Linked DNA regions of Elephas maximus indicus. Each later gene encodes a partner of the first gene's protein in a complex. Links are inferred from orthologs where the notes say so. Each region holds a gene or a part of one and is shown on either strand. Other genes may lie near its edges.

Region 1 (6,974 bases):
GCTTCTGGAGACAGACTACCTGGGTTCATCCTGGCTCTGCCAAATACAACCTCTGTGACTTGGGGAAATTACTATTCTGTGCCTCACGTCACTCTTCCGTAAAATGGAAAATGAGTATTAACTGCACCTTATCTCACAGAGCGAATGTGAGACCTAAAAGAGAACAGGCACGGAAAGCGCCATCCCACATGAAAAAAACGGTCACTTAACGTGGGCCGCCGTTATTAGTCCTTCTGCCAACTGGTGTGGCCCATACAGGCAGATCCAGAGACAAGGCTCTTCAGTGATCCCAGCTGTGACCTTCTCCCTTCCAAATGCCGGTCCTCACGCTCTGGCTGCCTCACCTGGTCCCCGAGCGCAGCCTGGATGAAGCTGAGCAGCACCTCATAGGTCTCCCGGGTCTCCTTAGTTTTGGGCTTATAGATGATGCCCACCATCTCGTCAATGCCCTCCGACAACAGGGTATAGCCCTTCATCTTGTTGATGTCATGCCGGTCCTCGTCACGCTTTCTTCGCCTAATGGACACACAATATGATGTTCAACAGAGAGAAGCTTCCCTCGCCAAGCGAAGGCTAAATCAAACCCACACCCCTCTTTTTCAGTTTTGTGATACACACCTATATCTGAAAAGAGAAACCTGTACCTCAGCAGATGATTCCCACTTGACCTTAAGTCCCTAGCACGAGACATTTCTTGATGGGACTCATCGACAGAAAAGGAGCCCTATGGTGCACCAGCTGCGCTAATCGATACAATGAGATAGCCTCCTCATTCATTTAAAAGAATCACTTCGTATGAAGATCTTATGTAACCTGATCCTGGCTAGTTTTTCACCTCTCATAGACATTTCCTTTTCCTAGCCAGAGAAACGGAAGCTCCAAAGGAATCCACTGCTCTTGACTCCTGCGGTGTGAGGACTGATTTTATGTGGCCTTTCTAAGCATGGTCTCATAACTTCCACCAAATGACTGAATGTGACTACAGAAAGAAAGTGCTTGTGGTCCACCAAGGGGACTGGACAGCTTGCTAAAAATGCAAATAAGGTGTGTGGCACCCGTGGGGGTGGAACCACGCACATATGGTACGTGGCCCCCTAATGAGGGGACTATCAGTTTTGCCATCCCACCATGCTTAAAATGAGCTCATCCCAGAACAGAGCGGGGCTTCACTACCACCAAGAAGAAGAGATGGGAGCAGAGTGCATCCTTTGGACATGGCGTCCCTGCGCTGAGAACCTCCTAGACCCAGGAGACAGAGAAAGAGAGCTCCAATGTCGGAGACAGTGCTGCAGCAGGGAAACGGCAGCAGCAGAACCAGGAGACCAGCACCAGACAACACGGTAGCCACTGCAATGAGTTATCGAACTCAGCAGAGCAGCAGACAGCTCCTGAGAGGGCTGGCCGGTGTCAGAACTGGTAAAAAGACTGGAGGATCAAGGGCTGTCTGACCTCCATCTCATAGCGATCAGCTGGCTGATGCTGATGGTGAAGCTCTCCCTAATCATAAAGTGAGACAAAAAGAAGGGTGACACTGCCACCATGCCATTCTTACAAACTCCCAACAAGGTACAATAAAATTGGAAAAGAGGTCATATGCTGCAAAATGGAAAACTAATAATCTATTCACTCATTTCAAATATAACTACTTTAATCAAAAGTGGGCCTAGGAATTTTTGAGACTTTATCACAGAGAATGGAGGAAACACAGAGATGTTCGGAAAAAAACGGTGAGATAAAGTTCAATCATTGTCTAGGTTTTGAAATACCTCAAAAAGTAAAGAAAACTAAAAGGAAACAAAGCACCTTTAGTAATATGACCACTAAATGTTAGTTGTAACAACAAAATAGCTGGGAGTAGGCAAAAGCAGAAGAAAGAAATTGAGGTGAAAAGTTAATAATGGAAGAAGAAAAGTTACTGAGACAAGGAAACTTGAAAATACCCCATAAGAAAAGATCTGTATGTGGACCAGAAAGAGATTACTAAAAAAAAGTAACAAAGAGTTATTTTCCACTGCAAATGTACTCACCTAGGCCAAAGACCCTTTAGCTCTTGCGTTCTGTGTTTACCTTCACTAAGATAATTTAATAACCACCGAGGTGTCACCTTGCACCAAGCATTTCTGCAAAATATACTTGAAACTCAAATGCTAAAGAAAACACGGGCTCTAAATGTGAAGAAAAAAGCTTTCCCTTGGTACTCACTTGGCTCTTCTCTCCTCCTGCATCTGCGGCTTGGTCCGCTGAGCTTTATCCCCCATCCGGGTGCCCTCCAGCTTCCCAACCAGAGACAGCACCTCTCCTGTGGGTTCATCGCGGCGGGTGCGGTCAATGAGCGAGCGGTCAGCTTGGAGGACGAGATTCGAGTTCTGGAAAGATCACATTGTCGGAGCTCTGACGTGAACAGGGCCAGCTGCTAATTACGGGGACAAGAGCTGGTAATACCTCAGGACGGGCCGAGGCCACCAAGTGCTAACAGTCCCCAGACGGAGTAAATAAACAGTTTCCTTCAGAAGCGACGGCACCGCGCGAGACTGCGGCGGATCAAGGGCCGAGTTCGGCTCTGGGCTCGGCCCGTCGAGCGACCTGACCCCCCGCCGCCCACACAGCGCGCGACGGCCGGCCTGGGCGGCGAGTGTCCGCAGGGCCCGGCCGGCGCTCAGGGGCCCGGGGAAGCCCTCCGAGGAGGCCCCGGCCGTCCCGCCCGCCAGGCCCAGCGGGCGCCCACAGGCCGTGCAGCCCCACTTGCGCCCGATTCAACCTCCCTCCACCTTCGCGGCTCGCGCGCCGGCCTTCCTCGGCCTCTCGCTCCCCACCCGGCTCCCTCGCCCGGAGTCTTCCCCTAGCCCTCACGCACCGCTTTGTACTCGTACTGCAGGCTGCGGGCGGTCACATCCGCCATGACTGCAGCTCAGCCGGGCCCTCAGGGCTCCGCGCCGCCGCACCACACGCCGCGAACCGCCGCTCCCGTTGCCACAGGCCGGAAGACGCAAGAGGGACGCCCGGAGAGGAAGACGGGAGCTCACTTCCGCTTCCGGGTCGCGCGCAGAGAGTGTGGGGAGGGCACGTCTCCGAGAGGTGGGCGGGGCTGGCGCCTCTGAGTCTCCGGTTCCCCGGATCCCGCGACCCCTGCACTCTGGTTCCTGCGTCCCTTCCGTCGGCCTTCTGGCGCGGCGGACTCAGTGACTCTACTTCCCCACCCCCTACCTGCGGCCCTCAGGTCGTAACGGAACGTACACCTGTCCAGCCCGCTGTGCTGACCTAGACCCTTCTCCACCCGCTTCTTCCTCTGACTCTCGCCCTGTGAGGTAGGCACTCTAGGAGACTGATCACCCCCTTCTCCGCCTGAGGAACCCGAAGCACCCAGCGAGCGGGAGTTAGTCTGTGTAATGGCTACTTTCCTTTGGGTTCCGCAGCTGTATTTAACTCAGAATGGATCAAAGACCTAAATGTTAATCTTAACACCCTAAAATTCCTGCAAGACAATACAGGGAGAAAACTGTGGGACCTGTATAAGAATAGGATAACACATACAACAAATGCAGGAAGAAAATAGATAAATGGGCCCTCGTAAGGTTAAGAAAAAAAAAAAACTTACCCTCATCAAAAGACTTTATTGAAACAGTAAATAGACAACCTAAAGACTGGGAAAAAAAATCTTTGGAAATGACTTCCAAAAAGGGTCTAATCTCTAAAATCTATAGAAAACTGCAACAGCTCAACAGCAAAAAGGCAACCCAGTCACAAAATGGGCAAAGAACGTGAACAGAATCTTCACCAGATAGGACATCCACGCGGCCAACAAACATATGAAAAGATGTTCACAAGCATTAGTCATTGTTGTCAGGTGCTGACGAGTCAGTTACAACTCATTGCGACCCTATAGGGCAGAGTAGAACTGCCCCATAGGGCTTCCAAGGAGCGGCTGGTGGATTTGAACTGCCGACCCTTTTGGTTAGCAGCCGAGCTCTTAACCACTGGGCCACGAGGGCTGTCCTTAGCTGTTAGAGATGCAAATGAAAACTGCAATGAGAAACCCTCTTATCCCTCTCCTCCCCCAAAAGTGGCATTGATTAAAAAAAAAAAACAGGTAACAAATGTCGTCAAGGATGTGGGGACACTGAAACCCTTATCTGTTGCTGCTGAGACTGAGAAATGTAGAACAGTATGGCGCTTTCTCAAAAAAGTAAGAATAGAGCTGTCGTATGATCCAGCAACCCCACTTCTAGGTATAAAACCAGCCTGTTGCCATCGCGTTGATTCTGATTCATAGCGACCCTACAGAACAGAGTAGAACTGCCCCGTAGGGTTTCCAAGGCTGTTACCTGTGTGTAAGCAGACTGCCACATCTTTCTCCCGCAAAGTGCTTCTGTCAAGATTTACAGCCTTGGAAACCCCATGGGGCAGTTCTACTCTGTCCTACAGGTCTCTGTGAGTTGGAATCAACTCATCAGCACCAGGTTTGGTTTTTTGGTTTTTGTTTGTTTTGGTTTATACACGTGGACCTCTCGACTACATTTATGGAAAGAAACAACGGAGAAGCTCAACATCATCAGTAAGAACAAAGCCAGGGGCCAGCTGTGGAACAAACCATCAATTGCTCTTATGCAGGTTCAAGTTGGAGCTGAAGAAAATTAAAACAAGCCCAGGAAAGCCAAAGTACAACTTTGAGTATATCCCACCTGAATTTAGAGACCATCTCAAGAGCAGCTTTGACACATTGAGTTCTAATGACCAAAGACCAGATGAGTTGTGGGATGACATCAAGAGCACCATACATGAAAAAAGCAAAGGTCATTAAAAAGACTGGAGAGACATGAGGCAGTTTTACTGTGTCCTATAAGGTGGCTATGAGTCAGAATTGACTTGATGGCAATGGGTTGTTTTTGTTTTTGCAAAGGAGAGGAAAACCCTCACTGATATTGTTACTGAGCTTCTTTATTCTTTAAAAAAAACTTAAAAAAAAAAACCTGTTGCCCTCAAGTCAATTCTGATTCATAGCGACCATATAGGACAGAGTAGAACCACCCCATAGGGTTTCCAAGGAGCGGCTGGTGGATTCGAACTGCCACCCGAGCTCTTAACCACTGCACCACCAGGTCTCCATTCTTTACTTACCTTTCCATGTATTACAAATACCCTAAAAAAGTTGTAGGAGTAGGAGGAAGGTGTTACTCTGTGGTTCAGGTATGTTATGTACATGTTTAAGTTTGGCTCTTTGATTATCTTCCTAAAGAAGGGAAACCATCCTCAAACTATTTGTGTTGAGTTTTTGAATACTGTTTTAGGATAGACTATACTTCAAGTAATGAAATTCTGCATAGAGGACCTATTCGGAAGTGGGGAAGAAACCATCCAAGCTCTCTTGTTTCTTATTCCCATTTGGAAACAGACGGCCTGACCTCTCAGTCTGGTGTAAAGTATTGGTCTATAGAGAGCTGTTACTTTGCCCTCCCCACTTTTTTATTCTCAGTTAAGAAAAATAGTACATTGCTGCAAACCAATCAATCTTTAAGAGAAATCCCTGCATCCATACCCCCAACTTCTTTGCAGTTATTATTCTCCCCCCACAAATCTAAGTAGTTTTGGAAAAAAAGGACTAGGTTTCACACCCGTGTGTCCCTGACACCTCATCCCAATCTTTCCAGGCAAAATAAATTTAAAAAAATAGCTTTACAGTTCGCAAAAGTGCTTCCTATACGTGCTCATTTCATAAACGTAATAGAATACAACCTGTAAATAGATTTCAGTTCGCTACTGGGGAGTTTATTTTATGGTCAGTATATCGTGAATCTTGCTATCGCCTGGTGGCATCTCATTTTTAAGACTTCTTCAATTATTAGTTGATTCATAGCACAGAACAGGATACAAAGTGGAAAGAAAGCAATGCTCTAGTGTTGTAATTGCTGACTTAAAAATAGACTTTAGAACTAAATGTTTGATTATAAAATTTACATGGAAAAGTAAAGAAAAAAACTATATTTTTAAAGAAAAGAGAATATTCAGGCTTTATTTCTGGTATGAAGTTTTTTTTCTTTTTTAAATCCTATATCATCACACCAGAGATTTTAGATTCTTTTCTGGTTACAAACATTGCTGGTAGTTGGATTATATTTTTAATGTATTCATTTCTCTTAGGAGGAAAACTGTAAAGAAACAAAAAGTTTCCAGATGAATGTATCCTAGAAATAAAAGTTGAAATATTCTTTAAAAAAAAAAAAAAATGGACGTCAGAAGAGAGCCACCAGAGCGGATGACTGCAATGAAAAGTCTGAATATGGTCAGTGCCACAAGGGGCACTGTGGGAGACAGGGAAGGTAGAGTCACTCTGAGGAGACTTGGAGAAACTTCGCAGAGAAGACAGCATTTGCCCGTGGTGTAAAGGCTGGCTAGGATTCAGTGAGGGGTGGGGGGCTTCCGAGGGCGGGGCACAAAAAGAGCTAAAAGCATGGAGCAGGGAAGTCAGGCATGTCCTGGGAGCTGTCAGAGTCAGTTCACCTGCCTGCGGCAAATGTAAGCAATAGGAACAGGGTGGCTACACGTGTAGCTGGGAATCTCTTTATTGAAGAAATAGTCTCGTAGTAAAGAATGCTTACTTCAGCCAGGAGGTAACAGAAAACCATGGCAGGTTTCTGTTTCTTGTTTGCTTGCTTGTTTTTCACACCTGCATAGCAGATACTTGATTAAGGAGACCAATGTTCAGATTAAGCAAAAATTTATTGAGTGCCTATCACGTGACAAAGAGCCCTGGTGGTGCAGGGGTTAAGCACTCAGCTGTTACCTAGTGGTCCGAACCCACCAGCTGCCCCACGGGAGAAAAATGTGGCAGTCAGCTTCCACGAAGGTTTCAGCCTCAGAAACCCTATAGGGCAGTTCTACTCTGGCCTATAGGGTTGCTATGAGTTGGAATCCACTCAACGGCAATGGGTTTAGGGTGTTCTTTTTTTAGATCATATGACAAGCATTTGCAAAGTACT
Region 2 (7,950 bases), on another chromosome or scaffold:
ATGCTTCACTCATTCTTCATTTAATCTGACATTTTAGCCAGAACCACAGGTTGAATTTGAAGTCTAGTAGGAGCCAAGAATTTAAACTGCTATCTCAGATTATGTCATTCCCTCTTGTCTTGGTCATCTAGTGCTGCTATAACAGAAATACTACAAGTGGACGGCTTTAACAAACAGAAGTTTATTCTCTCACAGTCCAGTAGGCTAGAAGTCCGAATGCAGGGCGCCAGCTCCAGGGGAAGGCTTTCTCTGTTGGCTCTGGAGAAAGGTCTTTGTCATCAATCTTCCCTTGGTCTGGGAGCATCTCAGTGCAGGAACTTCAGGTCCAAAGGATGTGCTCTGCTCCCGGTGCTTCTTTTTTGGTGGTATGAGGTCCCCATGTCTCTCTGCTTGATTATCTCTTTTATATCTCAAAACAGATTGGCTTAAGACACTACCTAACCTTGTAGATCTCATCAACGTAACTGCCACTCATCCACCTCATTATATCATAGTGATGGAATTTACAACACATAGGGAAATCACATCAGATGACAAATTGATAGACAATAATACAATACTGGTAATCATAACCTAGCCAATTTGACAGATATTTTGGGGGGACACAATTCAATCCATGACACCTCTCATGGACTCCGGACTTCCTGGAGCCATGAAGGTTGGAAGAACCCCTGAAACTATTGCCCTGAGACAATCTTTAAACCTTAAACCAAAAATATTCCCTGAAGTCTTCTTAAAACCAAATGATAGTTTAGCTTAACTACTAAAACATGTCTGCCTTGAACATTATGCTGTTTTAAGAACTACCTATATGGGATCAAATTGACAAAAGCAACTAGCAAGATGAGAGAGGAACCTTAGGGGGCAGTGAATTTATGTTAATGGGGGAAGAACAACTTAGTAAAGGAGGGTGAGAATGGTTGCACAATGGGAAGAATGTAATCAAAGTCACTGAATTGTACGTGTAGAAACTGCTGAATCACTGTATATTTTACTGTGTATAGTCTCAACAACAACGAATTAAAAAAAAAAAGGACAGGAAAGAAAGAAAAGACAAAAACATGTCAGAAGAGACTCTGAAACTTGCTCTTGAACACAGAGTAGCTGAAGTGAATGGAAAAACTGATGAAGTAAAAGAGCCGAACAGAATTCTTTCTAAGGGCAACCAGAGAAGACAAAGTATTATAATGAAATGTGCAAAGATCTGGAGTTAGAAAGCCAAAAGGGAAGAATACACTCAGCATTTCTTAAGCTAAAAGAACTGAAGAAAAAATTCAAGGCTCAAGTTGTAATACTGAAGGACTCTATGGCAAAATACTAAATGATGCAGGAAGCATCAAAAGAAGATGTAAAGAATACACAGAGTCACTGTACCAAAAGGAACTGGCTGACATTCAACCATTTTGGGAGGTAGCATATGATCAAGGACTGGTAGTACTGAAAGAAGTCTAAGCTGCACTGAAGGCGCTGGCAAAAAACGAGGCTCCAGGAATTGACAGAATACCAACTGAGATGTTTCCACGAACATATGCAGCACTGCAAGTGCTCACTTGTCTATGCCAAGAAATCTGGAATACAGATACCTGTCCAACCAACCGGAAGAGATCCATATTTATGTTTATTCCAATGAAAGGTGAACCAACAGAATGTGGAAATTATCAAACAATATCATTATCACACGCAAGTAAAATTTTGCTCAAGATCATTCAAAAGTGGTTGCAGCAGTACATCAACAAGGAACTGCCAGAAATTCCAGCCAGATTCAGAAGAGGACATGGAACAAGTGACATCTTTGTTGATGTCAGACGGATTTGAGTTGAAAGCAGAGAATACCAGAAAGATGTTTACCTGTGTTTTACTAGCTATGCAAAGACGTTCAACTGTGTGGATTATAACAAATTATGGGTAACTCTGTGAAGAATGGGAATTCCAAAACACTCCATTGCACTTATGCAGATACTTGTACATAGACAAAGAGGGAGTCATTTGAACAGAACAAGGGGATACTGAGTGGTTTAAAATCAGGAAAGGTGTACATCAGGGTTGTATCCTTTCACCATACTACTGAGCAAATAAGCCAAGAAGCTGGACTGTATAAAGAAGAACACAGCATCAGGATTGGAGGAAGACTCATTAACAGCCTACAATATGCAGATAACACAACCTTGCTTGCTAAAAGCCAAGAGGACTTGAAGCACTTACTGACTGTCCTAGTTATCTAGTATTGCTCTAACAGAAATACCACAAGTGGATGGTTTTAACAAACAGTTTATCCTCTCACAGTCTAGTAGACTAGAAATCCAAATTCAGGGTGCCAGCTCCAGGGGAAGGCCTTTTCTCTCTGCTGGGTCTGGAGGAAGGTCCTTGTCATTAAGGTTCACTTGGTCGAGGAACTTCTCCACCCAGGAACCCTGGGTCCAAAGGATGCACTCTGCTCCCGGTGTTGCTTTCTTGGTGGTATGACCTCCCCATGTCTCTCTGCTCACTTCTCTCTTTTATATCCCAAAAAAGATTGACTTAAGACACAACCTAACCTCATAGAATGAGTCCTGCCTCGTTAACATAACTGCTGATAATCCACCTCATCAACATCATTGAGGAAGGATTTATGATACATAGGAAAATCATATCAGATGACAAAATGCTAGACAATCACACGATACTGGGAATCATGGACTAGCAAAGTTAACAGATATTTTGGGGGGACACAATTCAATCCATGACACTGATGAAGATCAAAGACTACAGCCTCCACTATGAATTACACCTCAGCATAAAGAAAACAAAAATCCCCACAGCTGGACCAATAAATAACATTCTGATAAATGGAGAAAAAATTGAAGTTGTCAAGGATTTCATTTTACTTGGATCCACAATCAATGCCCATGGAAGCAGCAGTCAAGAAATCAAATGACATACTGCATTGGGCAAATCTGCTGCAAAAGACCTCTGTAAAGTGTTAAAAAGCAAAGCTGCCACCTTGAAGACTAAGGTGTGCCTGACCCAAGCCATGGCGTGTTCACTGGCCTCATTTGCATGCAAAAGCTGGACAATGAATAACAAAGATTGAAGAAGAACTGACACATTTGAATTGTGGTGCTGGCGAAGAATACAATATACTATGGACTGCCAGAAGAATGAACATGTCTGTCTTGGAAGTACAGCCAGAATGTCCTTGGCAGCAAAGATGGCAAGACTTCATCTCCCATACTTTGGACATATTATCAGGAGAGGCCAGTGTCTGTAGAAGGATATCATGCTTGGTAAGTTAAGAGGGTCAGCAAAAAAGAGGAAGACCTTGGATGAGATGCACTGACACAGTCGCTGCAACAATGGGCTCAAACATAGCAAGGATTGTAAGGATGGTGCAGGGCCCAGTAGTGTTTAGTTTTGTTGTACATAGGGTTGCTATGAGTTGGATCCCGCTAGATGGTACCTAACAACAACAACAAAGTGAAAAGGTGAGATACTTGACATTATTGCAAATTCTTAAAATATTTCTTGCATGAATTATCCAGTGTGGATACCATGCATTCAGGGTTCTTCAGGATTTAAAATAAAATTTTATCCTTTTGCCCCCATAAGCGCACTCATACTTTGTGAGACCACATGCCTGTATGTTTAATTATGAAAACACAGATGCTGTATTTCTGCCCGTGGTTGGACTAGCGAAACACTACAACATCCAAGTAATCTTTCCAAGTATACCTAATTCCACTGCACGTTCTGGCACATGGCGGCGCAGGGAATACCCATCATTTTATTAACCTTTCTGCTTTCCGCTCCTGGGAGGTGTTCAGCCCGTTAACACACAATAAAAACCAAAACCATTTCCATCGAGTCCATTCCGACTCATACTGACCCTACAGATGAGAGCAGAACTTCCCCATAGGGTTTCCAAGGAGCAGTTGGTGGATCAGAACTGCTGACCTTTTGGTTAGCAGCCGTAGCTCTTAAACACTGTGCCACCAGAGCTCCATTAACGTACAGGGACTCCACAAAGTCTGTCTCCTCCCTCTCGAGGCCCAGACAGCAGCAGTGCAGGTACCTGGAAATCTCTGGCAGGGAAAACATTTTTAAAACGATAAAATAAGCGACTTTTCAAAAGCTTTCCCAACGCGGAGTGAGAAGTATTTCTGAACGCAGAGGTAGACTTTTTAAAAACAGGTAGAGGATTTTTAAAAGCCCAGTTTCACCGAGTGAGAAGACTTGGGATAAGCAAGGTAACTTAATGGCCCGGGGCTGCACGAGGCATGGGGGTGGGTAGCATGGACTGCTCAGACCGCCCTGCCCTCGAGGGGCCTTCAATCTGACCTCTGCACTGGCCAGCGGCGCCGGGAAGCCAGTGGTGCCCCTGTAGGCTCCCCCGCAGCGGAGAGCCCTGAACAGCTGCCGTATCCCTACAAGGCCTCGGCCACCTCCGACTCCAGGCGACTGTCGCGGCGTCCCTGGTCCGGGCCCCGCCCGGGTCCGGAGCGTTACCTGCAGCAGGTGCAGCTGGGCCACTAGACGCCGAGGCAGGTGGAGGAAGCAGTCGCGAGCGTTGGTGAAGGCCACTGTCACGGCTACCCCGCCTCCCCCCGCACACGCCAGTCGATCACTGCCCCACATCGCCGGCGAGCACCGCTTCCGGGCCGCCCTCCCTAGAGCCGGGGCCGACCTGGGACGGGACAGGCGAGGGCCTCGGTCCCGGAGAAAATCGATTGGCCCTTCCCCCTCTCCGGCAGCGCACCCCACCGCACGCCTGAGGGGGTAGAGACAGGCTAGCCTTCACTCACCCTCCTTGGCTCTCCGCCGCGCCACTAGGGGGCGGCATCTTGTTCACCGTATCTTCTCTCGCAGGAAACGATGGCCGACACTGTCGATGCTCCAGCCAATCCGGTCACGTCTTGACGCATCCCGCTTTCTTATTGGATGAAAGGGAGGTCAGCAAGGCAGATGTTGTCTTCTCTGCGAGTGCCGAAGCTAACAACATGGCGTCGAGTAGTGGGGAGCTTGGGAGCTTATTCGAACATCATATCCAGAAGGCTGTATGCGACACGCGGGCTAAGTATCGGGAGGGACGACGGCCCCGCGCCGTCAAGGTAAAGTAATTTTGTTTTTTTCGCTTTCTTGGTAGCTTTACGTATGTGTGCTCGCTCCGCCTTCCTAAAAGTGTAAATAAAGGCTTGACAAGGCTGTTTGTTGTCACGTCCGTCCCTCATTGGAGTTGAGTGTGAGTAACCGCGAAGCAGGCACCAAAGCTCTCTTTTAGTCAACCACTAAGACGTTAGCTCTGCATAAGCAGGATTTTGTTTTATTCCTTGTATTTTCCGTGCTTCAACAGTGCACGGCACGTGGAAAGCACTTAAATATTCGTCGAGCGAATCTTCCCAGAAACATGAACCGCTTCTACCGATCTAACGTCTGGAAAAATTGTCGACTGAAGGTAGACTGATGTGTGCTTTAGTCCGAGGCCCTCAAACGTAGGGTGAATTATTTATGCAGAACGTGGCAAAGTTTCTGATTCTGTATGTTTTCTGCGAACTGTGCTGAACAGTATGTTTTCAAAGCTGTTTAAAAAAAAATAGGACGTTTGTTCTAGGCTTATTTGTGAAGTATGTTTAATGAATCTGCATTTCTTTTAGGTATATACAATCAATTTAGAATCTCGGTATTTATTAATACAAGGAGTTCCAGCAGTGGGAGCCATGAAGGAATTAGTTGAGCGATTTGCCTTATATGGTACAATTGAACAGTATAATGCTCTAGATGAATACCCAGCAGAAGACTTCACAGAAGTTTATCTTATTAAATTTCTGAATTTACAAAGTGCAAGGTAATATGCAAGTTAAGCCATGTCTTATTTCCTCCATTCCCATTGCTATCACTCTGGCCTCAGATTTCCCTCATTCTTACCTGAACTAATCCTGTATTTCTCATATCATCCTTCCGTCTTCTTAAAGGTTATTGTTGTGGTGGTGTTTGTTAATTGCCACTAAGTCAACTCTGACTCATGGAGACCCCATGTGTGAAGACTAGAACTGTTCCACAGGGTGTTCAAGGCTGTGACCTTTCAGAAGCAGATGGCCAGGCCTGTGCTCTGAAGCATCTCTGGGTGGGTTTGAACCACCAACCTTTTGGCTGGTAGTTGAGTGTTTAACTGTTTGTACCACCCAAGGACAGTTTCTTAAAGGTTAGCCTTACCAAAACACTGCTCCCATCATGTCATTTCCATGCTTAACCATTTTTTACAGTGTAGTATAGTAGGCGAGAAATTGGGTTTGGAGTAGATTTTCCAGTCCCACTGCTTTTATGACTTTGGACCAGTTATTTAACCTCTCTAAGCCTGTTTTCCTCTTCTGTAAAATCCATTTGTAAATCTCTTGAGGTTGGGTCAGGATGAAATCAGACAATTCATATAAAGCGCTTAGCATAGCACCTCCTATTCAGAATGCAGTAACATTAACTATCGACGTTCTTATTGTTATGGCCGTGTGTGGATTGACCCCATCTTATCCAGCTTGCTGTGTAATTCTCTGCTCCAATAAGGCTGAAGTATGAAATGCCTCATCTGTTTTTCATGTTGACCCTTACTCTTGTCACTAATCTGCTCCAAGAATCATTCTTCCCTGGCTAAAACAGTTGATATTTTTTCGGTACTACCAATAGCACTCATACTATGTCACAAAAGCACTTGATTCTATAGGATTATGATTCTTTTAAGGCAGCTCTTTTATGTAATCTCATTTCCCAGCCATCTTGCCAGCACCCCATGGTGTTTTTTAGAGCTTTTGCATCTTCTACAGCACTTAGTGCAGTGAACTTTAGATTAGACATCTGGATTTGCATATTAGCTCCACTGAACCAGCTGTGTGACCTTGCCAAGCTATATAATCTCCCTGTGCCTCTAATTCACCATTGGGTTGTTTTGAGGTGTAAATTCACTTGAAGCACTGGGGACACTGTCTGGCATGTGGTAAACAGTAAGTGTTTCTTATCGTTATCCCTGGACACAGTAGTACTATATTTACAGTACCTATTATTACAATATTTTAAACTACTTTTTAATGTATGAATCTGATTATAGGAACACAATGTGCTAAAGAGGCTAGTTTGGGTATGAACTGATTCTCAAGGGCTATTTAGCTTAACACAGAGAAAAGCCCTATTTCATGGCTACAGATTGTGTACCTCAGGCCAGCCAACTAGATTCTAAATTGGCTAAAGGAAGTCTGGGTATATGTGGATAGCTTAAAATCTGTTAACACTATTGGAAGAGGTGGCAAAAGTCACCAAAAGTATGTACCACAGTCCTGGATCAGTAGGGTTAGTACCACCCACAAGCAGCACATCTTAATTTCCAAACCAGAGGAGGTGTGGGCACATAACAAAAGGTGGACTTTGCTCTTTAGGTCAACCTATTGTATAATAGTTAAGCTTAAATCTTGATTAATAAACCATGCTATCATGTATTTGTTTAGGACAGCAAAGAGAAAAATGGATGAACAGAGTTTCTTTGGTGGATTGCTTCACGTCTGCTACGCTCCAGAATTTGAGACAGTTGAAGAAACTAGAAAAAAGTTACAAGAGAGAAAGGCTTATATAATAAGAACTACTAAAAATAAAGGTATGGAAAGTCTGTTTAACTAAACGCTTCCTATATGTCAGGTACTCTACTAGGTATACCACCATGGAGTTCCCATGGAAGGAGAGGCAAGTAAACAATCACAATATTAAGTAATTGTAAGCCACAGGCTTCTGTGAAGCACTTTACGTAAACCGGGCTGGGAAAGGAGACATGTTGGTTCATGGAAGATTTCCTACAGGATGTGAGAGGTGCCTGCGTTTTGAATAAGTAGTAGACGTTAGCTGGAAGGAGAGAGGAAGAGATGGGAAGGTAGGCTAGACTGCATGTTTAAAAGTAAGACATACCGAATAAATGAATAGGAAAATAAGAATAGTGTTACT
Region 3 (7,080 bases), about 80 Mb from region 1:
TTCGATCATGCCTTATCTGGAATCTCTGCCTCCTCCCTCTTCCTGAAATGTATTTGTTTCTAAAGGTTCTGTTTTCAGAAACCTGCCTGTATTGGATTCTTTGGCATTTATTACTTCCATGTAGGACTGACCCCCATGCCTGAATACAAGGTTTTTTTTTTTTTTTTTTTTTTTATGAATTTGGAGACTAAGGTTAGCGAATGACTCGCTCTTGCAACTATAAACTATAATACCTTGATGAGATTTCTCACGTGCAAGTATTCTACTTTAAGAGACTGCCTGTAGATGTGTTTTCAGCTGACCAGGGAACCTGACTTTACCAGACACCGTTTGGGTCTATCATCTGGTGAATGCCCTGTGGCGCGGGTGGATGTGCTCTGTGAAGACGAGCCCCAGTGTCAGCTTCATCTTCCACTGTGAAGGGAAAACAAATGGCATTCTGGTTTGTCAGTCTTCTGAGTTTGGTTGGCATGAGGCAGTCCCCCAGTTACTGGGAAATGATATCCTGCAAGACATGACCAGGTTCCAGACTGGGATAACCCAGCTAAGGTACTCCTTGCTCTTTGATAGGACAAAGGCCTGGCATCTTTCATTTTCACACTTTTAAAGTGTCCCTGAACTCTTTCAGTCACGTTTCATACAGCCTGCCCGAGATGGAAGCCTACATCTGCTTAACTTTGTCTTGCCCCACATTCCCTAGCATATGGCATACAGATGATCTGTCATAATCCTTGGCTGATGTTTGTGAATCCTTCATCCTGGATCCAGCCCTTTGGGCACATGGAGGTAACAAGGGCTCTGCTCTAAGGCCAGGGGAGGTGAGAGAGTCAAGCTGCCGGCCTAAGAACGTGGAGATTTAATTTCACAACCATGAGAGTAAAACTTACATGGGAAGTTTTGTGATTATATTAAAAAAAAGAAGAGTTTATTTTGAGGGCATTCTATCTACTTTACCATATTTCATACATGTTAAATACAGCTATATTTTATATTTGGTCATCAGACCTGTGAACATACAGGTAGGTCCTGAATGTGTACCTGTGTCGTCGTAATGGAGTAAGTGGTGGAGATGTGGTGAGTGCTGGGAATTAGTATGAAGGGCAATGACCTCGCTAACTGAAAGCTTCACTGGTGGGGTGAGGAAGACTTCTGTTGTTACGACACTGTCAGTATGTTTCTGTCTTCATACACCCGTGGTATGTCAGCTGCCTATTGCACATTGCAGGGAATACCATGTCTGCTTATATTTAGGGCAGTGGTGTTTAAGACTGCTTGACTTCATTCTTTGTTGTTATAGTAAAATACACAACAAAATATACCATTTTAACCATTTTTAAGTGTACAATTCAGTGGCATTAAGAACATTCACTGTTTCCAGAACCTTTTCATCACCCCAAATGGAAATGTTATACTCATTAAACGGTAACTCCTGATTCCTCCCTCCCCCAGTACCTGGCAACCACAGTTCCTGACTCTATGAATTTATTGGCTGCTTCTTATTTTTTAAAAAATCTGCACACTTCTCCCCACCCTTTACAGAAAAATGGCAGCATTTTTAACCATAAAAGAACGAGGCAGTGCTACTTAGTCTGCATATTTACTTTAGAGTTTAGAAAGTCCACTAGTATGGGCACCTCTGCTGCTTTGGTTTCCTGGTCTGTAAAATGGGGATAAAAATAATGGTACCTTTTTTTGTAGGGGCTTTTGGGAATTAGCTGAGTTAATAATTGTGAAGTGCCTTTTATTTGTATTTTCTCTCATCAATCCTTAAAAAATTCTGAAGTGTCTCCATTTTTGCTTTAAGTCCTTTTTGGGAAATAGCTATAAATAAACAAAATTATCCCCACTTTACAGGTGAGGAAACAGCTTCAGAGAGCTTAGATAACTTCCAAAATGAAGTATAGTTAAGAGGCAGGCTTCAAATCCAGGCCAATCTGACTGTGCAACTTGAGCTCTCAATATTTTGAGCTCATGTCCATAAAAATAATAATAATAATAATAATTATTATTGCCTTATTCAATGCAACTGTAGAGAGAGGGCAAAGCTCAGACCATGCCACCAGACATGCATTTTCTTGGTCCTGCCTAATTGCCCTGTGAAGCAGACAGGGTTGGGATCCATTGAGGTTGGGTCTTGTCAAGCCAAGGTTGAGGATTGGGTAGAATGGGTAGGGACAGAACTGAAGAAGCCAGAAATGGTCAGGAGATGGGTTGGCAGGGCCCAGAAGGGCATACTGGTAATATCGACTAGATTGGAAATGTGAGCCTTTCCAAATGCCTGTTGTCATCAAGGTGGAGGCAGTTTGAGACTAACAAATTGGACTTTAAGCCAAGGCAGCATTGCATATGGGGGACCTGTAGAAACCTCTAGCTAGTGATGCCCTAGTTTCTCAATGTCTCCTCATAACCCCTCAGGGACCCAGCCTGCTTTCTTTTCTGGGCTGGTGTGGCAGCCACTCAGATTATAGCCCAGTGCTTAGAAGTTCATTCTTCAGAGCAGTGGTCTTCAAGAAATACGAGAATGCTCTTTAGATGCAAGGATGGCACAACTTTGGCTTGCTTGCTTTGGACATATCATCAGGAAAGATCAATCACTACAAAAGGACATCATGTTTGGTAAATAAGGGAAACCTTAATGAGATGGATTGACGATAGTTGAAACAATGGACTCAAGTCAATGTTCACGAAGATGGCGCAGGACTGGGCAATGTTTTGTCTGTTATACCTAAGGTCACCACGAGTCAGAGTTGACTCGGCAACTAACAACAACATAAACGAGTTTTTGAGCATGTATCGCAGTGTATGTGTATTTAGTTATAAAGTATGACAATGCCTACTTGACTAAAACCGACAAAATTTACCTTATAAAAAGAAAATATCCAGTCTAATATTTTATTTCAAAAAGTTTGGATCACGTTTTTTACTGCACTTCCCTAACCTCTGCTCCCAAGAGTCCTGTGGCTTGAGCTTGAATCCTGTCTTTGCCACCTTTTTGCTGTGTGATAACGGGCAACTTCCCTTATCTTCTCCAAGCTTCCATCTCCTCATCTGTAAAATAAGGATGATAAACCGAGAATAGTTGTGAGGGTTTAAATGAGATAATTCAAGTACTCTTGTCTTCTCCCCCCAAGACTTGAGTATTAGAATTTGATCTCACAGGCTTTACTCTTTGGCTGTGCTGAAAGCAGGTCCAGGTCTTTTTTCAATGGAAAGATTTACACAATTTCCTTCAAGAGGTAGATAGGTGCAACCAATGAAACTGGATGTGCAGAAGTTACACAGATTTTAGAAACCTCCGTATTTTTCACAGGAATTATACTGGGTCTAGGAGTTCCTGGGTGGCACAAACAGTTCAATGCTAGGCTGCTTGTGGAAAGATTGGCAGTTTGGACCCACCCAGAGGCATCTCGGAAGACAGCCCTGGCAATCTGGCTGCTTTCAGCTTTGAAAACCCTATGGAGCAGTTCTACTCTGCTACACGTGGGGTCACCATGAGTTGGAAGCGGCCTGACTAACAACATACTGGGTCTGAAGTTCTTGATCTCCCCTCTTGAATGTACCTGGAAGCTTGTTAAACTTCTCCCCACCTAAAGATACTTACACTGCTAATAAAAATAACTATCGGTAACTGCGCCAGACACTGTTCTAAGCACGTTACACAGTAACGTCATCTCAGATCTCGCAATCATCCTGATTAAGTACTATTATTGTCCCCATTTTGTTAAATAACTTGCCCAGGTTTTACAACTAGGAAGTTACGGAGCCAGGATTCAAACTTAAATACCCTGTAACTCCACAGCCTATGCTAACCACTACGTATATGGTGCTTTGAAGCTGCTGGAGGCAGATATCTCGTTGGGTCGTGATTGTAGCCTCAAGGCTAGAACGGCGCTTACTGCAAAGTTTGGTGAATGAACGGATGGACACACAATAAGGTAACGTCCTCACAAGTACGCACAACGGGCCCTAGACGTGCCTGCACTTCCGGTTGGTCCACGAACGCGTCACCCGGGAGGTCTCCCCGCCGGTGCTCCGACGCTCCGCCAGTTCCGGGTCTGGCCACGCCCCTCCCGTCACTGCCGTCCGTTCCGCGTTCCCTAAGTTTGACCCCAGGGGCGAGCCGTCTCCCCGCCCGCGCCGCTGCCATGGCGGCAGCTCCGCCGCTCTCCAAGGCCGAGTATCTGAAGCGGTACTTGTCTGGGGCAGATGCCGGCGTCGACGGGGGCCCCGAGTCCGGTCGCAAGCGTCGCAAAAAGCGGGCGAAGCCCGGAGGGGCCGGCGGCAAGGGGTGAGTGGGTACCGCGGGGGCGGGCCTGTGGCGGCCCTCAGCCTTGGTCTCTGCGCCGCCGGCCGGGGCTCTGCCTGCTCTCCTCGCCGGCCTGGGTCCTCCGCTCCGCCCGCTCGTCCGCCCGCTGCCTAAGCTCAGGGCGCGCGACTCGGGGCGCCGGGGCCTGGGCCCGCTGTGGCTGCCCGCCTTTACCCTTCGCGCTGCTGAGCAGCGTCTTCGGTTGTTTAAACTGGGCTGTGACTTCCATGACTCTTTTCCCGCTTTGGTAGCCTTCCGACCCCTCCGGAGTTAATGAATATCGTGCTCTGAGAATGGGGGTGGAGCTAATTCAGTGCCTTGGTGCTCGGATTTAGGGTCCTGAACTTGCCCGTGGGGTTCTCAAAAGTCCCAAAGGCTTCGTGATCCTGAGTCGGAGAGCCCTGGTCACTACTGCTGCTAATGCCCCCAACAGCGACTGGCACGTACACACTTCTTGCCGTATGTCAGGCACCGTTCTAGGTACTTTACACATACATGAACTTAAGCTTCACAACACTACCACGGAGTCGTTATTGTTATTATCACAGTTTTACAAACAAGGAAACTTTTGTAGCCCAGCGGTGTCAAAGGGTTCCAAGGAACTAATCTATTGCCTTTCCTGGTTTGATTCTGTTTTTTTTTGCTTTCTGTGTTTTTGGGTCCCTTTCTCTCGGGTGGATTCTTTGGAGGCAGTGCGATGTAGTGAAATAGCTTAGCTTTGGGGCAACATTGTTCAGAGTTTGAATTTTACCTCTGCCACTTTATAGGCTGTGTGGCCTTGGGCAAGATATTTAATCTCTCTGAATCTCAGTTTTCCCATCTTGAAAATGAGAATAATAGTAAATAATACTGCTTGTATTAAATGGTTTTTGTGATTTAAAAAAATCAGCTGCCACGGAGTTGATTCCTATTCATTGCAAGCCCATGTGTCATAGTAGGACTGTGCTCTCTAAGGTTTTCAGTGGCTGATTTTTCAGAAGCAGATCACCAGGCCTTTCTTCCAAGGCACATCTGGGTAGACTCTGGCCACTCAGACTTCCAGCCTTTTGTTAACAGCTGAGCACATTAACTGTTAGTACCTCCCAGGTACTATGTTGTTGTGATTAGAGATGATTTATAAAATATCCCTGACTTTTCAAATAATAGCTATTCATGTGATGGCAGTTAATGTTATTTCCTGTCATCTATAGTTCATCCCTGTAACACACACTTATTGAATACGTCACATGCCAGTTACTGCAGGGTGTCGACAAGGCCTCTATGAACAAGAAAGACGTAGTGCCTGTTCTGATGGAGCTTACAGTTTATTGGAGATACAGGCCTTAAACAACTGTTTACACAATAAATTGATTCCTTTGTGGTAAATGCAGTGAAAGTATTCTGAGTGTGTGTAACGGGGGTTCTTAGACTTAGGGGAGAGGACCAATCAAGGAGGGTATGCCTAAGGGAGTTAAATTTATGTTGGGACCTGAAGAATGAGTAAGAGGTTTCTGGTAAAGAATGAGGAGAAGAGCAGGTCAGGCAGAGGGAACTGGTATGTGAAAGTTGATGTGGTAAGAAATTTGCCTCGTTTCAGGTGCTCGTGAGGTAGTGAACTGAGAGGGCAGCAGTATAAGATGACGTTGACCACCTAGGCAAAGGCCGGATCACGCAGGAATGTGTAGGATTTTGAACTTTATTCCTAAAACCAGATGGATAAGTGCTCTTAGGCTGTTATCCAAGAATGATTTTTCTTCTTTTATCTTTTGTTTTTCACATTTAGAATGCGGATTGTGGATGATGATGTGAGTTGGACAGCTATCTCCACCACTAAACCAGAGAAGGAGGAAGAGGAAGATGATGGAGATTTGCCTGTGGTATATATCTTTTGGGGCTGTCGGAACTTGGAAATGATGTAAACCTCCCAGTCTGTACTCCCAGTGCAGGACAGATTTGTATGAGGGAAATTTGAGGGCAGAGAAGAGATGCCATTTTCCAAAGAGCTGTTTAAAATAGTCTTCTTTGACATATGCCTCTACACTGACTTCTCTGTTTATCCAGGGACCCATTAGCCTAGAAATGGGAACCAGTCACAGAGCAAGGCAGGACTTCCTCAGCATCAGTGATAGAACAATAACTAGAATTAGCAACAGTTCAGTTTGTGGGAATCCAGCTTCTGAACAATGTTCGAGTTCAGTTATAGAGAACTTTTTATTTGCACCCATGAGTCAGAAACGACTTGACAGCAACTAACAATAGCAGCAACATTCATTGATTTAACTAAGCTTTAAAATTGTATAAACTTGCCTAAGTACTGGAGATATGTAGATTAATGGAATATAGTATCTGTACTTTAGAGAGCATACCCTAGAAGGGGAGACTGATTTTTTTTTTATTGTGGTGAAAATACGTACAAAAAACATTGGCCAGTTCAACAGTTTATACAGGCATAATTCAGTGACGTTGACTCTTTTTGTTATACAACCCTCATCACTATCTTTTTCCGAATTATTTTACCACCATAAAGATAAGCTTAGTGCCCTTAAGCAAAAATTCCCCCTTTTCCTCTCCCTTCCACCTTTGGTAACCACTAATTTTGGTTTCTATATATATGCTTATTTCATGTTAGTGAGATCATACAGTATTTGTCCTTTTGTTGCTGACTTATTTTGCTCAGCCTAATGTTTTCAAGGTTTATCCATTATTGTGATGTGTATTAGGACTTTATTTCTTTTTATGGCTGAGTAATATTCCATTGTATGTGTGTACCACATCTTGTTTATCCATTCCTCTGT
Region 4 (7,188 bases), on another chromosome or scaffold:
AAACCAAACCAAACCCAGTGCCGTGGAGTCGATTCTGACTCGTAGTGACCCTATAGGACAGAGTAGAACTGCCCCATAGAGTTTCCAAGGAGCGCCTGGTGGATTCAAACTGCTGACCCTCTGGTTAGCAGCCGTAGCACTTAACCACTATGCTACCAGCGTTTCCTCAGGGCTCCTAGCGTGTCATAAATATACTTGTTTCACTTGATTTTTCGGATCTTTTGTGTAAGAGGGATCACGGGAAGCATCTGGCTATTCCGCCATCTTGGCCCCGTCTCCCCCTCCCTGCACTCTTAATTGTTTGATAACCTGGAAGCATATTGGTACAGCTATGTATCTGTTTATTCAGCCTTTTGAATTACTTGTTTATTCAAGATTTCTCTTTTACTTGTTTTAGATTTTTTCCCTCTCATTTAAATATTATGTATGGGAATTTGGAAGCCTTTTAAGGCCTGAAGCAGAACATCCTTGACATAAAGGAATTTTACAGTGAGACCTGTCACCTGATTATTCTAGTCCGCTGAATTTTTTAAAGTATTGTTTTCATTCTGCCCTTTTCTGGGCTTAGCATTCTGGTCAACACGAAACATATGGGATTGGTTGTGACCAGGGTTTTATATTTCTTTAGTGATTGTACTACTTTTTTTTTAAAGCATCGTTTCCATCAGTTTAAAGTGAATAACGGAAGTACCAACAGATTCAGCAAGTTTTATCCAGGGCACCCTTGGAATAACCTGAAGAATAGGTGCCCACTTCAAATGGAATTTGAGATTACTACCATAACTGGCTGTGGAGTTTACCATTACTATTTACACATCCCTTATTATTTTTTTATTTTAGGCAACCTTAGTAGTTGATATTTTCTACTCCTGGCTTTGAAATTTAAGGATCTGAATTCTAAGCATAGCTGAAGAAAACAGCAGACTTCCTAAAATCAAGTTTGGTTTCTACAATTCAGTAGAAATGTCTTAATACTAATAAAAATATTATGGATTTTTTCAAGATGTTACTATCCATTTCTTTTCTATATTTCAAAATTCTCAGCATTGGCTCACAACTGTGAGTGAAGCTACTATTCCGTATATGCAGAATATGTTAACTGTTTTTTTGCATCTGCTTCAGTATTCTCTACAACTGGCATCACTAAAATTAAACACTAAGCGTTGTTTTAAAAAGATTAAAAACAAGGTATCTTAGAACTCTGTATTGACAGTGTAATGCCAGCTTGTTTAATTCACTGTCCAGGAGATCTAGTAACAGTTTTATAAAAATGTGAGTCACTTTGCATCCTAGATGTTTCAACTAAGATTAAATCATGTATTCATAATGATATGTTGCTTAAATGTTTAAAAAAATGTCATTTAGAAGAATGCTATAAACAAAGGAAATATATTACTGGGCAAAACGGGAGAGAAAATATGCAAGGGAATTTCCAGGATTTTATCCATTTCTGAATGTACAGACCAGTCCATTTACTAGTTTAGAATAACAATTCTTTAAATTAGCTTTTATGTGAGTTGTGTTAATACAGAATGAATCCATTTTCAAGGTATTGTTCACAAGGACAAGTATCTGCTGGGAAAATAAATTTTTCCTTTGTTTTCAAAAGTGTTGGAAGAAGATTAGTGAAATTGAAATACCAATTTGAGATAACTGAATACTTTCTAAACATTATTTTAAAAGGAAACTTTTGGTTGTATTTTTATAATGGCATTTATCTCCAAGAGAAAAATTAGGAATGCCTTTCTGAACACATAGTACATCAGATAGCCTCTTCTAGTTACATACATTTCATGATGAATTATAAATTCTATTTTGTCTACTCTGTAAACAACCTAAAGGAAGAAAAATCCTTGAGATTGAAAACGAAGTCTCCATCTGGAATTGACCCGTTGTTTCTTTTTGTGCCTTTCATCAGGAAAGAACACAATCAAATAAAATCACTCCCCTCCTGCAATCTTCATTAACACTATTATGTAAATGAACAATAGTTCCTTCTATAGAGTCTAAAGAGATTTTCTTTTTTCTTCATTAAATGCACTGAAAATTGCTAATGTTCATTCTGTTCTTGTAGAGGAAAACAAAGTGCAAACCAGGCTCCCTTTGAAAAGCATATTTTTCTGATTTTTAAAAATTCTATCAAGTAGCAGAAACATAATAATGCCTAGAATTTGGTTCAGGCTGCATGAGGAAGCAGTGTCCAACAGTGACACTAGTTATTCTTTTCTTCCACTAGGAAAACATGCATCTGCCAAGTTGAGAATCTAGGGATTGGGAGCCCTGGTGGTGTAGTGGTTGAGAGCTACTGCTGCTGACAAAATGGTGGGCAGTTCTAATCTACCAGCCGCTTCTTGGAAACCCTCTGGGGCAGTTCTACTCTGTCCTATATGGTCGCTATAAGTCGGAGTCAACTCGGGGGCAATGGGTTGTTGTTTTTTAGCAGTAATGAATGCTCAGGTGTGTTATAGAGTAAAAACATCACAAAATTTAGTAAAGCAAAAAGGAAGTTTTATCAGCATATATTCAAAAAGGCAAAAGTGGGAAGCAGACAGGCATGCTGCCAGAGCTAATGTCTGCCCACGTCCAAGGAAATATTACAGAATAGACAAAAGTGGGAAAATGGACAAGCATGCTGCCACAGCCATGTCTGTCCAAGTCCAAGGAAATATTACAGAATAGGCAAGAATGGGAAAACGGACAAGCATGGTGCCACAGCCATGTCTGCCCGAGTCCAAGGAACATTACAGAATCATCAGTATATATTAACATCACAAACGGGCAAAACCATTGAAAGCTTCACCTTTTCACAGATTGGCTAGAAACTGTGATCCTACATTTTGAATTGCCTTTCTTAACAATCATTGATACAGGTTTCAGTAATAACACTCAGGAGGGTCTCGATTGGTCCAACCAATTTTCTATTCACTAAAGGCTAATACAAAAAGATAAAGAGTGGAAAGTCTTTTGTGTTCTGTTTGAATGGTTTACGTGAAAGGTTCACTAAAAGGTATTTTCCGAAATTATCCTAGCTATTGTCTTTATGCCTCAGGGCCCAGTTGATGTGCCCTTGTAAGTCCTTCTGAGCCCAGCTCCAGCTGGGTCACATTCTCTATGCTCAAGGACAGGGAATAATGATTCCAATATTATTTCCTAAATCAGGTGCTAGGTGAGACTAGCAATGGCTGTGATGGTTAAGTTCATGTGTCAACCTGACTGGGCCATGATTCATGGTCCTTTGGCAGTTACATAATGATGCAGTCATTCTCCATTTTGTAATCTGATGTGGGCATCTTCCGTTTTCAATTAATGACGATTTTTGCATAACAACTTGGTCTTTGAACCTAATCATGTTGACAAGTGAGTAGGTGTAATGCATATCTGTCAATGAATGAATGATGGGTGCTTAACAACCATTTGCTGTATGAATGAATGATGTTCTTTGTGATCCCTCATATTTAGACTATTTTGCCTGAGGTTCCTAGGACATGAATATAAAATAGAATAAGGCAGGGAATTTGTTTGCTATTATTTTCAAAACAAGTACAAAGTGCTATGGTTTTCCCATATGACATTAACATATAATTTAGAGTGACAGCTCGTGGTTGCTCTTAGTGTTCATTGAAGAAAGAGTAAAAAAAAGCCACATAGTATAAATTAAATTCTTAGATGTAACATGGTAAACACGTTGAATTAAATCAATTAGTAAAGAAACAAATTAAATCCCCACCACAGAAAAGTGAAAAAAAAAAAGGTTGGTTGTGGGTTTTCAATCCACTGGACTTTTAAAAGAAATAGTAAGCCCCCTTAACAAAACAGATTTTACAAAAATTGCAACACAGTGAGTTGGTGGCGAGAAAAATGAATTGACTTACTGGTCTGAAGAAAGATGCCCGACTTGTGAAGAGAGAGAACTTTCTGAAGAAAAATACAACGAAATTAAAGACTTTAAAATTTTCCAAAATCTTCCGGGTTAGAAGGAGAATTTATTCACAAGCCAAGATATCTTTAACATGCCTCCGAAACTTCGAGGAAAGAGAGGGTACCTCTCTAAGAGAAAAGTTCAGCGGACATAGATACCTCACCCGAAAGAAGCGAGTGTGCGCGATCTACAGGGCCTGGGCCCGATCGCTCTCTCGGCCTCAGATTGGTCAGGCCTGCCCGCGCAGGGGAAGAAAGCGGAAGCGCGCTCTTTCAAACTTGCCCTCCCTACCGCGATAGACGCAGGCCACTTCCGGCGCAGCCATGGCGGCTAACGCCACCACCAACCCGTCGCAGCTGCTGCCGCTAGGTAACCTTTCACGGGGGGCCGGGCGGGGAGCTGAAGTTCAAGATTGGGGGCAGAGGCGCTGCGACTAAGGTGGCGAAGTGTGGGGAAAAGTGTATCCGGCTTTTTCCTTCTGCTCCAAGTCTGTGGCCCCTGACCGCTCCTGCCTCAGCGTGATAGGTTCGCTTGAGGCAGCAACTTTTGACTCCCCAAACCAAACCGTCTCCGGAGAAAGGTTTATGCTTAATGAACTGAACGTGTAACCTGCCGTTGTTGTGAGCTCGTCTCTATCGTGTCTTGGGTAGCGGCCTCCCCCCACCCCCCAAACCTAGCATTTAAGATCTTCAGAGTAGGCTTTGTCTTATTTTATGTCTGGCCGGTTATTGAGGGAAGGTCAGGAATGAAATTTAAAAGAGGAATCTGGAAACTGGTTCCAGTTGTCATTCATTCAGCAAACGGTTATTGGAGCGTCTACTGTGCGCCATCCACCACAGAGATCATAACGACACTATTCAGCAGTATTCAGCAATTCAAATCACAGTCTTTTTCTTAAAATAATGCAGAAAACAGTGGAGGGAATGGATACTGAGCATTGTGCCGAATAGTGCTGAACTGGCTCAGTAGATATTCAAGCTGCTGTCAGAGTTCAGAGAATAGCCCTCGGTTGGGTGAGGCAGGTAGTGATAGGAATCTCTGATGAAGATAATTATACTCCTCTCTCCCCTAATATTTCGAGACTGGGAAGAGTGACCAAGTTAATAGACGAGGCTGTGCTTGAAAAGTTTCTATTCCTTCATTTGACACTCTTTGAGTGCCCGGTTGATTGCAGGCACGGCCGTTGTGAGTTGGAATTGACTTGTCGGCAACCGGTTTCTCTCTCTCTCTTTTTTTTTTTGCGGGGGGGGGGGTTGTCCATTGGGGATACAGTGATGAGCAGAAACAAGCACGGTCTCTACCCTCGTGGAGCTTAGAGTCTAGTAGGCAGTTCATATATTATTAAATAACCTAAAACACAGAAGTGCAACCATGGTAAATTGCTACAAGGGAGAGTTAAGTAGAGATCAAGGGAAACTTTTCTGTTAATGATCGAACAGAGATTTGTAATATAAGAGCTAAAGTTGTTGAATGAATATTTTTCCTGGTTTGTCTTTCACTATATGCAAGTTATTGAGTGCCAGTAGGCACTCAAATATTTGTTGAAGTAATGAATTGCTGAAATAATCTTTTTCCTCTCTCTTTTTTTCCTCAATATATTCTTAGAGCTTGTGGACAAGTGTATAGGATCAAGAATTCACATTGTGATGAAGAGTGATAAGGAAATTGTTGGCACGCTTCTAGGCTTTGATGACTTTGTCAGTATCCTTTTAAAAGGTGGTGGATAGGTTTTTCTTAGGTATTTAATAACGTAAGTAAGAACTATAGATAATCAGTATTTACTAATTATTATATTAGAGATCAGTTCACTCTTGGGGAACTTGTGGTAACATTTTAAGAGATGTATGTACTGAATCGACTTGACAGCAGCAGGTATGTACTGACCGAAGATAAAGTTTCTACCAATAACGAGAGTTGAAAATTTAAGTCATTGTGTTAAATGTTATCACTAAAATTGAACAAAGACAAGACAGAGTAAATTCAGACAGGTATGTTTATTTTCCTAACACCAAATTTCAGATATGGTATTGGAAGACGTCACTGAGTTGTAAGTAGTGTTAAAAATGAAAAGTTTGGAGGAGTATTGCTCTTCTTAATTTAAGGCAATTTTAATACTATCGAGTCAGTAAAATGATTTACAAGTAAATATTGCCTGTTGGCATTATCTTAAAGATGGAAATTTTATCTACTGATGCTAGTAAAATTAGATCAGAGGGTTATTAATATAATTATTATCATGTTGCTAGGAAATTAGTAGAGACAAATCTTTAAGATGAATGATACTAAAAACTGCTCAGGTCAAATAAAAGACTGGTAATAAAAACGTTTAACTGTGTAACATAAAATGTAAATGATGGCTCAGTTGTGTTAATTATATAGATCATGACCAATATCTCTGCTTTCAAAATTGAACTGATTACAAATTGCTTTAATGGCTGGGAGAAGCCCTAGTGGCACAGTGGTTAAAGCGCTTCGCTGCTAAACAAAAGGTTGGTGGTTCTAACCTACTAGCTGTTCTGGGGGAGAAAGATTTGGCAGTCTGCTTCTGTAAAGATTTACAGCCTTGGAAGCCCTATGGGGCAGCTCTACTCTGCCCTATAGGGTCACTGTGAGTCGGAATTGACTGGACGGCAGCGGGTTTGGTTTTTAATGGATGGAGATGAGCAATAATGGATGTGTTAAAGAAAAAGAGTGAAGCTGGTAAATATTTCGTATTTGGCCTCCTTGGCAAGTTTCAGCTTTTTTAATGAAGATCGAACTTAGTGGATGTTAGGCCAGTCAGTTCACTCTTACCTTTAAGGAAGAGTGTACATTACCCAGTGGATAATCTTGATCTTTGAAAGTTTTTGATATAATTGCTTCACCTCACATTTACTTACATAGAAGAATAACCTTTTTAGGGATGGAAAGATTTCAAAATGTTGGCTTTTATTACCACTGTTTAACCTGACTATTTTATCTATTTATTTAGCGAAATCACACCGGAAGGAAGAAGGATTACTAAATTAGATCAGATTTTGCTAAATGGAAATAATATAACAATGGTAAGACACATTGAAGCTAATACTGTTTTATTTAACAGTAGCCCGTTTTTGTAGGACGGTGGTTACAGATCTAACTCCTGATGCTGTTTGTTTGACTAAATGCCCATGGACCAGTATGCTTAGGATGGGAAAGGGATGTTGTGGTAGTCAGGGCGCTAAAGCTGAGCTACTAAATATGGCATTGGGCCTAGAGATTAGCTTGTTTGGCCTTTTTCATTTTGTTAG

What was found.
Region 2: SNRNP200 (region 1) and RBM48 share a complex: the UniProt entries of both Homo sapiens proteins name them as parts of the minor spliceosome. The link is inferred for Elephas maximus indicus from reciprocal best matches to the Homo sapiens genes SNRNP200 and RBM48.
Region 3: SNRNP200 (region 1) and BUD13 share a complex: the UniProt entries of both Homo sapiens proteins name them as parts of the minor spliceosome. The link is inferred for Elephas maximus indicus from reciprocal best matches to the Homo sapiens genes SNRNP200 and BUD13.
Region 4: SNRNP200 (region 1) and LSM5 share a complex: the UniProt entries of both Homo sapiens proteins name them as parts of the U4/U6-U5 tri-snRNP complex. The link is inferred for Elephas maximus indicus from reciprocal best matches to the Homo sapiens genes SNRNP200 and LSM5.

Annotation. Positions count from the first base shown.
Region 1 is NC_064835.1:88,744,330-88,751,303, reverse strand, and holds the start of SNRNP200 (U5 small nuclear ribonucleoprotein 200 kDa helicase), read right to left. Parts: upstream 3,024-6,974; 5' UTR 2,900-3,023; coding exon 2,855-2,899; intron 2,367-2,854; coding exon 2,203-2,366; intron 517-2,202; coding exon 345-516; intron 1-344. UniProt on the Homo sapiens protein: Catalyzes the ATP-dependent unwinding of U4/U6 RNA duplices, an essential step in the assembly of a catalytically active spliceosome. Plays a role in pre-mRNA splicing as a core component of precatalytic, catalytic and postcatalytic spliceosomal complexes.
Region 2 is NC_064826.1:62,573,398-62,581,347, forward strand, and holds the start of RBM48 (RNA-binding protein 48), read left to right. Parts: upstream 1-4,928; 5' UTR 4,929-4,973; coding exon 4,974-5,084; intron 5,085-5,627; coding exon 5,628-5,818; intron 5,819-7,463; coding exon 7,464-7,609; intron 7,610-7,950. Other genes in the region: peroxisomal ATPase PEX1, read right to left, coding at 4,483-4,611. UniProt on the Homo sapiens protein: As a component of the minor spliceosome, involved in the splicing of U12-type introns in pre-mRNAs.
Region 3 is NC_064835.1:9,018,964-9,026,043, reverse strand, and holds the start of BUD13 (BUD13 homolog), read left to right. Parts: upstream 1-4,073; 5' UTR 4,074-4,145; coding exon 4,146-4,288; intron 4,289-6,068; coding exon 6,069-6,162; intron 6,163-7,080. UniProt on the Homo sapiens protein: Involved in pre-mRNA splicing as component of the activated spliceosome. As a component of the minor spliceosome, involved in the splicing of U12-type introns in pre-mRNAs.
Region 4 is NC_064826.1:94,010,432-94,017,619, reverse strand, and holds the start of LSM5 (U6 snRNA-associated Sm-like protein LSm5), read left to right. Parts: upstream 1-4,185; 5' UTR 4,186-4,242; coding exon 4,243-4,288; intron 4,289-5,524; coding exon 5,525-5,620; intron 5,621-5,938; coding exon 5,939-5,966; intron 5,967-6,890; coding exon 6,891-6,963; intron 6,964-7,188. UniProt on the Homo sapiens protein: Plays a role in pre-mRNA splicing as component of the U4/U6-U5 tri-snRNP complex that is involved in spliceosome assembly, and as component of the precatalytic spliceosome (spliceosome B complex).